Linked DNA regions of Saccharomyces cerevisiae S288C. The gene in region 1 interacts genetically with each later gene. Each region holds a gene or a part of one and is shown in the gene's direction. Other genes may lie near its edges.

Evidence for each region.
Region 2: mutations in BTN2 (region 1) and ISC10 together harm fitness more than expected from each alone (negative genetic interaction), as found in Saccharomyces cerevisiae (one large-scale study listed by BioGRID).
Region 3: mutations in BTN2 (region 1) and YML108W together harm fitness more than expected from each alone (negative genetic interaction), as found in Saccharomyces cerevisiae (one large-scale study listed by BioGRID).
Region 4: mutations in BTN2 (region 1) and YHC3 are lethal when combined (synthetic lethality), as found in Saccharomyces cerevisiae (2 studies listed by BioGRID, with this or other methods).

The regions. Positions count from the first base shown.
Region 1 is NC_001139.9:770,802-774,216, forward strand, and holds BTN2 (Btn2p), read left to right. Parts: upstream 1-1,652; coding exon 1,653-2,885; downstream 2,886-3,415. Other genes in the region: VPS62 (Vps62p), read left to right, coding at 1-1,171. UniProt on the Saccharomyces cerevisiae protein: V-SNARE binding protein that facilitates specific protein retrieval from a late endosome to the Golgi. Modulates the rate of arginine uptake. Involved in pH homeostasis. Required for the correct localization of IST2.
Region 2 is NC_001137.3:549,203-552,097, reverse strand, and holds ISC10 (Isc10p), read left to right. Parts: upstream 1-1,570; coding exon 1,571-2,374; downstream 2,375-2,895. Other genes in the region: YER181C (uncharacterized protein), read left to right, coding at 302-625; SLO1 (Slo1p), read left to right, coding at 976-1,233; recombinase DMC1, read right to left, coding at 2,581-2,895. UniProt on the Saccharomyces cerevisiae protein: Indispensable for spore formation.
Region 3 is NC_001145.3:53,008-55,624, forward strand, and holds YML108W (uncharacterized protein), read left to right. Parts: upstream 1-1,785; coding exon 1,786-2,103; downstream 2,104-2,617. Other genes in the region: ZDS2 (Zds2p), read left to right, coding at 1-1,461; PML39 (Pml39p), read right to left, coding at 2,258-2,617.
Region 4 is NC_001142.9:323,210-326,712, forward strand, and holds YHC3 (amino acid transporter YHC3), read left to right. Parts: upstream 1-1,754; coding exon 1,755-2,981; downstream 2,982-3,503. Other genes in the region: BNA3 (kynurenine--oxoglutarate transaminase), read left to right, coding at 177-1,511; BIT61 (Bit61p), read right to left, coding at 3,033-3,503. UniProt on the Saccharomyces cerevisiae protein: Plays a role in vacuolar arginine transport. Involved in pH homeostasis. May be involved in ion homeostasis together with IST2. Not necessary for mitochondrial function or ATP synthase degradation.

The DNA.
Region 1 (3,415 bases):
ACAAAGGGGCAATGTACCGCAATATGTCATCGATAATAGCCCTCTGCTCCATTTATATAGTGAAGAAAAGTACTGGCCAGCTGATGTTAAGGATTTTGTAAAAAGATTCCAGTTGAGAGACCACAGTGGGGAGAAAATTATCAATGAACACCTTCGTGACTTAAGTGACTTACAAGAGTATTATTCGGTAGAGTTAGAGAACGGAACGTGGGGCCGAGTATCCAGTGAAGGTACATATATGACAAGTTTAGATGATTTTGATAAGGGCCCTGACTGGTTGTTGGGTGAACAACCAGAATATGGTACAGGTCACATAAAGAAAGCACCAGCAGTTCTTTTTGTCGTTGACAAAGGAAATGGTTGGGTAGACGCGTTCTGGTTTTATTTCTACCCCTTCAATTGGGGTCCTTATATTATGGGCTCCGGACCATGGGGAAATCATGTAGGGGACTGGGAACATTCTTTAGTACGATTCTATAAAGGAGAACCACAATATCTATGGATGAGTGCGCATGGGGGTGGTAGTGCCTATAAGTTCGAAGCCATTGAGAAAATCAAAAGATTGCGTCGTGTTGACGGTAAATTGACAAACGAGGTTATTAAGAAGCCTTTAATATTTAGTGCAAGAGGCACACATGCACATTATGCATCAGTCGGTCAACATGCGCACGATGTTCCGTTTTTCTTTATGCCATTGAGTGACTTTACTGATAGAGGGCCATTATGGGATCCTTCTTTAAACTATTATGCCTATACAGTGACTGTGGGGGAAAAAATGACACCATGCGGCGCTGAAGAAACTAAAATGGGACTAGAATGGCTATCGTTCAAAGGCGCTTGGGGCGATAAACAATTAAGACCTAGGGATCCCAGACAAAAATGGTGCCCATTTCAATGGAAATATATTGACGGACCAAAAGGTCCACTATTCAAAAATATGGAAAGGGTTTCTTTATGCCAAAGATTTAAATGGTGGAATTTTTGGAAGGGCTGCCCGGCAAGAAGATATATAAAAAGAGGGGAAGGTTTGGATGCAGAAAAGAATGATCTTGTGGGTGACAATTGTGGTATCTTGCTGTACAACATAAGGCCAAAGTGGCTGCGTAGCATACTCCGTTTTTTGACGTGGAGGGGAAGCGTATGTTTCATTATGGACTACTTTACAGGGTAATGAATATTTGGGCGTTTTTCGCTATTTTAGCATGCTGTAGTGTATGTACTGTGCATCGTCATGTAGCACTATTTCAGCCGTATTTTTCTTTTTTTCTTTCGCACCGTCTGTGGTTGTAAAGTTACTGACACTTTTTTTTCTAGAAAGTTCCGGAAAATTGCGACACTCGGTGGAGCTCGAGAGTTGTATCCAGTTTTCTTGTTCGGCGATATTCCGAACCAGGTCGGGTTGGGCTAACAGCCGCCCAGGATGGAAGAATTAAGAATTTCATAGAAGCCTTCAGTTCTTGGCGAAGTAAAGTGGCAAAACAAATGGAAGATCTATTGCATTACATATATAAAAGCATTAGAACAATCTTTTCTCATTGACAGGTATTCTCATTGCTCTATATATATTTTCTTCTTCTTGAAAGAAATATCAGTATTACAATCATAACAACAACCAAAAGAAAATAACTAATAGACCCCATTACAATATAGAAATGTTTTCCATATTCAATTCACCATGTGTTTTTGAACAGCTGCCATCTTTTAGTCAGCCCCTACATTCGCGTTATTTTGATTGCAGTTCTCCAGTGAGCTATTATCCAGAATGTAAAAGGAGGAAAGCAATAAAAGCTAACCTAAGAGCTCCAAAAAAAAGCGATGCAAATTGTTCAGAACCTTTGAGGTATGCACTTGCTGAAACACCAAATGGTTATACATTAAGCTTGTCTAAGCGGATTCCATATGAACTTTTTTCAAAGTACGTTAATGAGAAATTAGGTGAGCTAAAGGAGAACCATTACAGACCAACTTACCATGTTGTCCAAGATTTTTTTGGAAACCAGTATTATGTTGAAGATGAAGCGGATGAAGATGCTCTATTGAGATCTGCATTGAAAGATCTGGATTTTAGAGCCATAGGAAAGAAAATTGCTAAGGATCTTTTCCAAGACTACGAAATAGAATTGAATCATAGAGGTGATGAATTGAGCATATTGAGTAAGAAGGATAAAATCTTTAAGGAATTCTCTCTAGACCAAGTGTTTGAAGATGTTTTTGTTATTGGCTGTGGAGTTGAAAACATAGATGATGGCTCGAGAGAAAAATATGCACTTTTAAAGATTGGTTTAGTTAAGCATGAGGAAGAAATTTCCGAAGGTGGCATCAACGAACCAAAGATGCCAATAATTGAATCCAAAATAGACGAGTCTCACGATGATGTTAACATGTCTGAATCTTTGAAGGAGGAAGAAGCGGAGAAAGCGAAAGAACCACTAACCAAAGAAGACCAAATAAAAAAATGGATAGAGGAAGAAAGATTGATGCAGGAGGAAAGCAGAAAATCAGAACAGGAAAAAGCTGCCAAGGAAGATGAAGAAAGGCAAAAGAAAGAGAAGGAAGCCAGATTGAAGGCAAGGAAAGAATCTTTGATAAATAAGCAAAAAACCAAGAGGTCCCAGCAAAAAAAATTGCAAAATTCCAAATCATTGCCTATCTCTGAGATTGAGGCCAGCAATAAAAATAATAATAGCAATTCTGGTTCAGCAGAAAGTGATAATGAAAGTATAAACAGTGATTCTGATACGACTTTGGATTTCTCTGTGTCTGGTAATACACTAAAAAAACACGCTTCACCCCTATTAGAAGACGTTGAGGATGAGGAAGTTGACAGATACAACGAGTCCCTAAGCAGATCTCCCAAGGGAAACTCTATTATTGAGGAGATATAATGGGTGATAATACATACTCCCCATCTTTCATTTTTACGGCATTAAATAACTAATTATATGCATCTTATATACTACTATAATTCACTGACTTTATGAAAGGAATATAAATCGGCACGGCAGAAGGCGGATTTATTTTGTTACAATATAACAAAATAAAAGGGCAACAGTAAAGTAGAAATTATTAGTATCCGTGATTTTAGTACAATTATTTGCTTCCTAGAAATCCGGTTTTCCATGTTAACATTTATGCTAGTATTTTATGGTGGAATGGCAAGTGATTCACAAAATACAAGCTACTTTATCGAATGATTGAAATTCATTTCTGCTTGAATAGAATTCAACTATCGTTTATCGATTCTATTTTGAGGATTCCTATACCCTCGAGGAGAACTTCTAGTATATTCTATATACCTAATATTACTACTGTTATTAACAATGGAATCCCAACAATTATCTCAAAATTCACCAATATCTCAATTCCATCTTTAGAAAAATTAAGTTCAAATTAACGGAAACAGTAATCAAGTAAA
Region 2 (2,895 bases), on another chromosome or scaffold:
GAATTGCCGATTCTCTTTTATTGATTCCTGTATCTTTTGAGGAGAACTTCTAGTATATGTCTAATGTCGTTTTACTAGAAATGGGACCCCTGAAAATCGTCAGCAACTTTCAACTGAATCTGAGAATGATGCTCAAGTCGTCATTTTATCTTGCAGAAGCTAAGTGCAGGAGTTGATAATACAGCAGAATTAAAAGTGACAACGCAAGAAACAAAAACAAATGCAATCTCAATATTATGTGAAATTGATGATTTCGTAGCGAATCATGCGCACTGTGGGAGAAGCCTGGGTATAATTATGTATGCTAATACTGTTACGTTTATCTGAGGTTTGTGTGAATTTTGTGATAATTATCGGGATTCCATTGTTGATAGAGGCTTCAATACTATGTATACAGAACATACTAGAACTTCTCCTCAAGGGTATAGGGATCCTCAAATTTAATCGGTATTTGCATACAATAATATTACGATTATTTTTCCTATCGTTTTATATGCTTCATTTTCCCATTACATTATCAATTCTTGCATTTCAGCTTCCATTAAACTTGCTAACTCTTTCTCAAGCTTCATTTCATCTTCCTAGATCTCATATGATACTATACCAGCAGCAAGAATGCTACTAAATGGATGATATTCTAGAGTTTCATTTCATCATCTACACGAAGGGATGGGGGCATCTGAAGTATTTGAAACGTTGCTATGATTTCATAATTTATGCAGGTTTAACACAGATTACAGGTCTCTTGGCCCAGTTGGTTAAGGCACCGTGCTAATAACGCGGGGATCAGCGGTTCGATCCCGCTAGAGACCAATTTTTTTGAAAATCGTAAAAAGGCCCAAAAGGGAGAGCACAGCACGTTCTGCTTAAAAAAATAAAAAATGATGTCTTCAATAAAACATCTTAAGGACCAGTTTGTAGATCTGCGAAGTTGTTGACTAGATAAATTATAATAGCAAACAAACAAATAGGACAATGTCAGCGGAGAACATTAGTACTGGCTCGCCGACGGGCAAGCAGCCATCCTCTGAAGTTAATCTTGGCGAAAGAGAAGCTGGAACAAAAAATGAGAGGATGATGCGCCAAACCAAACTTCTGAAGGATACATTAGACTTGTTGTGGAATAAAACCTTAGAGCAGCAAGAGGTGTGTGAGCAACTAAAGCAAGAAAATGATTATCTAGAAGATTACATTGGCAATTTGATGAGATCCAGTAATGTGTTGGAAAAATAACTTTTCAACGTAGGTTTCTGTTTTAAATAGGTAGATCAGTCAAACGGATGCGTCGCATAAATGGCTGATAAATTTTTCCACTACTCGTTTTCTCTTTTTCTGAGTTTCTATATTTTGCGCCTGTTTTACAAAGAAACCAGTATGGTTTGATCCCATGGGCGATGCCACAAAGAAGCTATAGAGAAAAAATGTTAAAATATTCGAAAAAGCTTCGAAAGATTTTATTGCGGTCACTCATGATCATAAAAAAAACCCTTCTCGCATTTGTAACATTGTATTTTAGTTTCTACTTCTTGTAGCAGGCCCTGAAGTATAGATTCTCAGACACAGTGACAAAATGGATGTCGATGAGAGGTTGCATCAAGATGAAAATCAAACCCACCCTTTTTCGCAAAAGAAGTCAAGCAGTTTCTTGATAAAGGAAAAAGCTGCTACAAAATCCAAGGATCTTGAACATATAAGGCTTCGTGACCTAAATTTCAATCATAGAAAAAAGCTAGATGACAAAAAATTGGCAAAGCAAATCCCAGTTAAGGCAAATTTCAAGAAGCCTAACGAAATTGAAGCTCGCGCTAACCTAAATTCAAATGAATTAACAGATATCAACCTTGACTATATACCGGATTCCCCATCTATAGAGAAAATATCAGGGCCTGAGGATTCTATTGTTGTAACGCCAAGAAATATCATACATTTACAATCTGATTCAGATATTATTCTCGAGGAATGCGAGCATAATTATGACTGTAGCCCTTTTTACCGTCTGTTCAACTACGAAAATAGAATTGAGCCCGATGACTACGAGGCTATTATAAACGCTATAATAACTGACGAAATTGCTGGCACATATCCGGTTTTCGAACGGGAATTAGAGTACCAAGAACTGAAAAGTCTTGTCAGAAAGCGAGATTATATTATGTATTATTTCTTGTCAAGGGATTATCGGGGGTTTTTTCAGTTGAAAGAGGAACGTACTTTATTTTATAGGTACCCTTCAATTGCGTACACTAGCCCGTTGAGGTATCTGGATAATGGATCTGAAACCGAGCAGTTTACCGGGGATGATGATGAGGAGCTCCAATCATTTGATTTTGAAAACACATCATCTGTGAGGACTTTAGATAGTAATATATGGCGTTAGGTAATGCTCAATTTTATATACGCATATGCACCATAGTAATTTAATATTTTTTTTCCGAATTACAACAATTATATTATAATATTCCTTTCTTTTGGAGCTGCTAAAACAAAGAATCATAACAAGATATTAATAATATTAGTAACACAAAGTAAAAGAAAAGTTTAATAAAGGAGCAATGTCATCTTCATTAAAAAAGTATACAAAAACTAGTCACTTGAATCGGTAATACCTTTTTCACCAATTACGTAGACACATTCTTTTTCAGGCATATCTGGGGAATCTTGTAACTTGGCAACTCTTTCGTCACCACGCCCTTTTCTCAACAAAATCCTTGTTGCTGACGCATGTGCCAGAACGTGCCCTCCAATTGGTTTCCTACCATCTGCCGAGGCAAATAATGCAGAAGCACCTGGGTCTGATTGAACTTGGTTTGTCAGAAATACTGCAACATTAAATTCCTCTGCCAATCTATTCAATTTGAAAAGATGTTGATTTAGCTTTTGCTGTCTTTCGCTTAGTTC
Region 3 (2,617 bases), on another chromosome or scaffold:
TGGAGTACCGAAAATGAGAAATACGTTGATAGCACCAACTACTATTCGGATGAAGAAGATTTGACACATGCATCTATTTCTCAAGAGAGCAGTCTTTTATCTACAGATAGTTCTAACAACAGCGTTTTAATAAAGCCGCATAACACTGGTTCGATGATTTCTGAAAAATTGGATCAGCACGTTAGCTCGAGTGAAAAATCAAATACCAATAACAGCGAAGCAAATCATGGCTGGTCATGGTTGAATTCTAGCAATGGAAGTTTGAACGCTAATGAACAAACTTATCAACAGCTTACAGATGATGAAGACGATGAAGAATGTGTGGACAATGAAAAAGCTGACTTTGTTAACTTGAGTGTATCGAGGAGAGCGAAATCTACCAAACGTGCCTCTGAAAGAATAAACCATTCCAAAAATAGACATTCGCCAATTTTCCAGATACATTCTGAAGAAGCAAAATCCGTGGTAATCACTCCTTCAGTCGTTTCTTCATCTGAATCCCAGCCATCTAAGCCTACTGCACCGGCAGTCGTGGAGAAAAAGGTAGAACTGCCTACTGACACCCAAGCCAGTACACATAAGAAAAATTCCTTGGAGAAAAGGCTTGCCAAATTATTCAAAAGAAAACAACATAATGGTACCTGCAAATCAGATGTGAAAGTAATCAAAAAAAGTGTTAAAAAAGAACTGAAAAAGAAGGCTTCGCATTCGAGTTTATCAAAATTCAGGAAAAGTCCCAAGAAAAAGCCCCAAGAAGCGGAAGTTGAACGCCCTTCATCCCCCACCAAAACAATTACCACCGAAGATATAGATACAGCAAGCGTCATTGAACCAGAAGTGAGAAGTTCAAATGCTTCCACCCTTCTTCCTGACAGCCATACTAGCCACAGTTCTGAATTTGTGGTGGAAACTATAAGCGAGTTAGATGGCGACGATTCATTTGATATTAGTGGTGGTGATGTAAACTACGACGTCGAAGTGCACTCTAGTATCAGTAGAGATACGACAGCTGGACTAGAAGAGGATATAGGAGCAGAGAGAGAAGACAACACTTCACCTACTGCCCCTCAAATCTCAACTTTGCCTCCAAGAAAATTGACATTTGAAGATGTCGTTAAACCAGATTACTCAAACGCTCCAATAAAATTCACAGACAGTGCTTTTGGATTCCCATTACCAATGATAACCAACTCTACAGTGATTATGTTTGACCATCGTCTAGGAATTAATGTTGAAAGGGCTATTTACAGACTCAGCCATCTGAAGCTTAGCGATCCCGGGAGGGAATTAAGACAACAAGTATTGCTAAGTAACTTCATGTACTCCTACTTGAATTTAGTCAATCATACCTTATACATGGAGCAGGTGGGCACTGGAGATATAGCCTTCAATGGTGATTCTGCCTTGGGAATGATGGACAAAAATGATTCTGATGGCACAATCTTAATTCCAGACATTTAACTCATAACTGTTTACAAGATTGATAGATACCTATATAAGGCCACATATTTCAAGTATTGTAAGGATGCCCTTTTAGTGTCAAACTTCTTATTATCACGAAAAACGTCGTCTTTTCATGCAAGGAAGGACTACAGTATATACATATAAATATATATTTATGTAATTATTTTTTTCTTTTTTTTTAAATTTTCTAGCGAGAATGAAGAAAAGCCGACCTCATCTCATCCTATTTGGAACAAATTCGAATGATCTGTCCAATACAGCAAGGCTACCTTGCGGTTGAATTCTATCTCGTACTACACTAAGACGAAAGAGAAAAACGAAATGTCCAAGAGTAATACTTATAGGATGCTCGTCTTACTAGAAGACGACACCAAGATAAATAAAGAAGATGAAAAATTTTTGAAAGGTAAGCCGGGAAAAATGCATGAATTTGTTGACGAGTTGATACTTCCATTTAATGTTGACGAACTGGACGAATTAAATACCTGGTTTGATAAGTTCGATGCCGAAATATGTATACCGAACGAAGGTCATATCAAATACGAAATTAGTAGCGATGGTTTAATTGTACTTATGCTAGATAAGGAAATTGAAGAGGTTGTCGAAAAAGTAAAGAAATTTGTCGAAGAGAATAACTGAAATAATGATGTTGCTTCGGTTTTTTGCATGAATATAACGTGACTGTTGCGTATGCATATGTGCACGTAATTTAAAGAGAGAGTGACAGAATCTGCGCATCAGCATGGGGGCATATACAAGCATATGAGAATTTGGATAATGTATTACATCTAATTTATAAAGTTTGTAGAACAGCCTCTAATTTATTTAGTCTTTCTCCCACGCCCAATTTCGTTATTAGTTTGTCCTCCTTGCCGATTAACTCCAGCAACATTGTGGGCAACAACTCTTTGTTGTAATACCGACACCATAGAGCGTGTCCGTTAAATTCTGTATATTCTAACTTCTTCAGGGATGCTCGATGAAAGCAAGCCGTGCATTGAACCAGATCATCCTTCTGGAATTTCGTGTAGCCGAGAAGCAACAGACCTACGAGAGAATAGTCTTTACAATCGAAAAAAAATGCCAATTTTTGTATTTCTTTCTCAGACAAGTAATGAAATATACGGGAAGAGTTTCTTTTAAGGCTAAATTC
Region 4 (3,503 bases), on another chromosome or scaffold:
CTTCAGTAGCATGTCGTGTCTAGCACGTGACGTAGAACTGTGGCTTTTTTGTTGTCATTATGACAATCAAGATACCAAAATTCAGTCATGTTTAAAAGGGGAAGGTACGATAGAGATATATATAAAGTGTTCAATTTACTATAATTGCGTATAGAATCCATTGTTACTTGCTCTCAATGAAACAACGATTCATTCGTCAATTTACGAACCTAATGTCTACTTCGAGACCGAAAGTTGTTGCCAACAAATATTTCACTTCTAACACTGCCAAAGATGTTTGGTCGCTAACCAATGAAGCCGCTGCAAAAGCTGCCAATAACTCCAAAAACCAAGGCCGTGAACTTATTAATTTAGGCCAAGGCTTTTTTTCATATTCCCCTCCTCAATTCGCCATTAAGGAGGCTCAGAAAGCCCTAGACATTCCAATGGTCAATCAATATTCTCCAACTAGAGGTCGACCTTCATTAATTAATTCCTTGATTAAGTTGTATTCTCCTATTTATAACACAGAATTGAAAGCGGAAAATGTTACCGTAACAACAGGTGCCAATGAAGGTATACTTTCTTGCTTGATGGGGCTTTTGAACGCTGGCGACGAGGTTATTGTTTTTGAACCTTTCTTTGACCAATATATTCCAAATATCGAACTTTGCGGTGGTAAAGTTGTTTACGTCCCCATAAATCCTCCAAAGGAATTGGATCAAAGGAATACTAGAGGTGAAGAATGGACCATTGACTTTGAGCAGTTCGAAAAAGCGATTACATCCAAGACAAAAGCTGTCATTATCAATACCCCTCACAACCCAATTGGTAAAGTTTTCACGCGCGAGGAATTAACCACTTTAGGTAACATTTGCGTCAAGCACAACGTTGTGATTATATCTGATGAAGTCTATGAACACCTTTACTTCACTGATTCTTTCACTAGAATTGCCACACTCTCTCCAGAAATTGGGCAACTAACCTTAACGGTCGGTTCTGCCGGTAAATCGTTTGCTGCTACTGGTTGGAGAATTGGTTGGGTCTTATCCTTGAACGCAGAGTTGTTAAGTTATGCAGCTAAGGCACATACAAGAATTTGTTTTGCATCTCCATCCCCTCTACAGGAAGCTTGTGCAAACTCTATTAACGACGCTTTAAAAATTGGGTATTTTGAAAAAATGAGACAGGAATATATCAACAAATTCAAAATTTTCACATCGATCTTTGATGAATTGGGACTACCATATACAGCTCCAGAGGGTACATATTTTGTCCTCGTTGATTTCTCTAAAGTGAAAATTCCCGAGGACTATCCCTACCCAGAGGAGATCCTGAATAAGGGAAAAGATTTTCGCATTTCTCACTGGTTGATCAATGAATTAGGTGTGGTTGCCATTCCACCAACTGAATTCTATATCAAAGAGCACGAAAAGGCTGCTGAGAATTTGTTAAGGTTTGCAGTTTGTAAAGATGATGCTTATCTAGAAAATGCCGTAGAGAGATTAAAACTACTCAAGGACTACTTATAAGATAAATTTTTTTTTATACTCCTTTTTCTCAATATATAGATTTTATAAAGCATGTATATTTTTATGCAGAAGTGGTAAATATAAACATCAATATTCCAGAATAATTCCATATTTTCTTCGCGTACTACAAGAAAAAGTGAACCCTTAATGAAAAATAGACAATATGAACATTTAGTAATGTTTTGAACAGTGTATTTATAGAGTACTTAAACACATATGAAGATATAGCGCAAGTAAATATAAATGAGTGACAAATCTCATCAGATATATTGCTACTTTTGGCTCTTTGGTTTGATCAATAATGTACTTTATGTGGTAATACTTTCAGCAGCTGTTGATATCGTGGGTCCTACCTTGCCTAAATCTCTAGTATTGCTAGCAGATATATTCCCATCACTCGCCATTAAATTGTGTTCCCCATTCTTTATTGATAGAATCAAGTACAGCTATAGAATATGGTCTTTGATCACGATGAGTTGCTTAGGAATGTTCTTAGTTTCTTTTAAAAACTTGTTTGTTTGTCTTTTAGGAATATCTTTCGCATCTATATCTTCCGGATTTGGAGAAGTGACATTCCTACAGCTAACACACTATTACAAACAAATTTCTTTGAATGGATGGTCGTCAGGTACTGGTGGTGCAGGAATCATTGGCGGAGCATCTTATATGTTCTTAACTTCAATCTTTAAAGTTCCAGTGAAGCTAACTTTACTAGTATTTAGTCTCCTTCCATTTGCATTTTTGTTTTATTTTAAATTAGAATCCAATGATACCAACCTGACTTACCAAAGTCTTCAACAAATTGACGAAGCAGAGGATGACCAGTTGGTGCCCTTTCCTGTCGCCTTTACACATACCAACGCTTCGCAATCCCTGTATTCTACAAGACAGCACATTTTGCAAACGGTCAAGAGACTTCGAAGATTGGTTTTTCCATACATGGTTCCATTGACCACCGTCTACTTATTCGAATATTTAATAAACCAAGCGGTAGCTCCGACCCTATTATTTCCGATTAATGGTGATGAAAGAAGTAAATCGATGCCATTTTTCTTCCATAAATACAGAGATATATACGTAACCTATGGAACGCTCTACCAATTAGGTGTCTTTATATCAAGATCCTTTGGACATCTTATGAGAATGAGGAGTTTATACATCTTAGCGTTTTTACAAGGTGTGAATTTGTGCATAACGGTACTGCAATCATGGTTTTATGTCACACATTCGCCCTGGGCGGTGATGATATTAATATTCTATGAGGGTTTTCTTGGTGGTGCGTCATATGTTAACACATTCTTAAATATTCTCGAACAAGAGGATCCTGATGAAACAGAGTTCGCCATGGGTGCTGTGTCCATCGCTGATTCCTTTGGCGTTTTTTTGGCTGCGTTACTTGGTTTGGGGCTAGAACCCAAACTTTGTAGGCATCAAATTGCCGATGACAGACCTTGGTGTAGGATGGAATAAAGTTTTGTTGTGATATTAAATAGGAGATTGAAATAAAGTGTTAGATGCTTTCTATATACTCATTCTAATGCCTGCTAATAACTCTTCGATAATTCGTTGATTTCTATCATTACTTTGAATGGTACTCAATATGCCAAAACACTGCAGTAATGTCAATTTATCTGTTTCTGTGACATTACTTTCTTCTTCTTGATTGAAAATGTAAAGTTGAAAACTTTTGCTGATACCATCGTTACTATTTACGAAGTTTTCATAACAAGGTAAGACTATTGAATCTCTAAAGCACATAAGCAAAAGAAACCCAATAGAATAATTACCATTAATGTGAGTCCGACTTTCATTGCCTGACTTTAAAACCGTAGAATTACCATCTTCTCTGATACTCTGATCCAACGGTAATAACACAGCGGCTAAATCATAATATACCTCTTGATAAAATATCCGCCATATAACGCCTAATCTTTTCAATGCGTTATTTATTGTGTCTTCATTAGAATAGTTAAAAACAATTTGGTTTTCTAA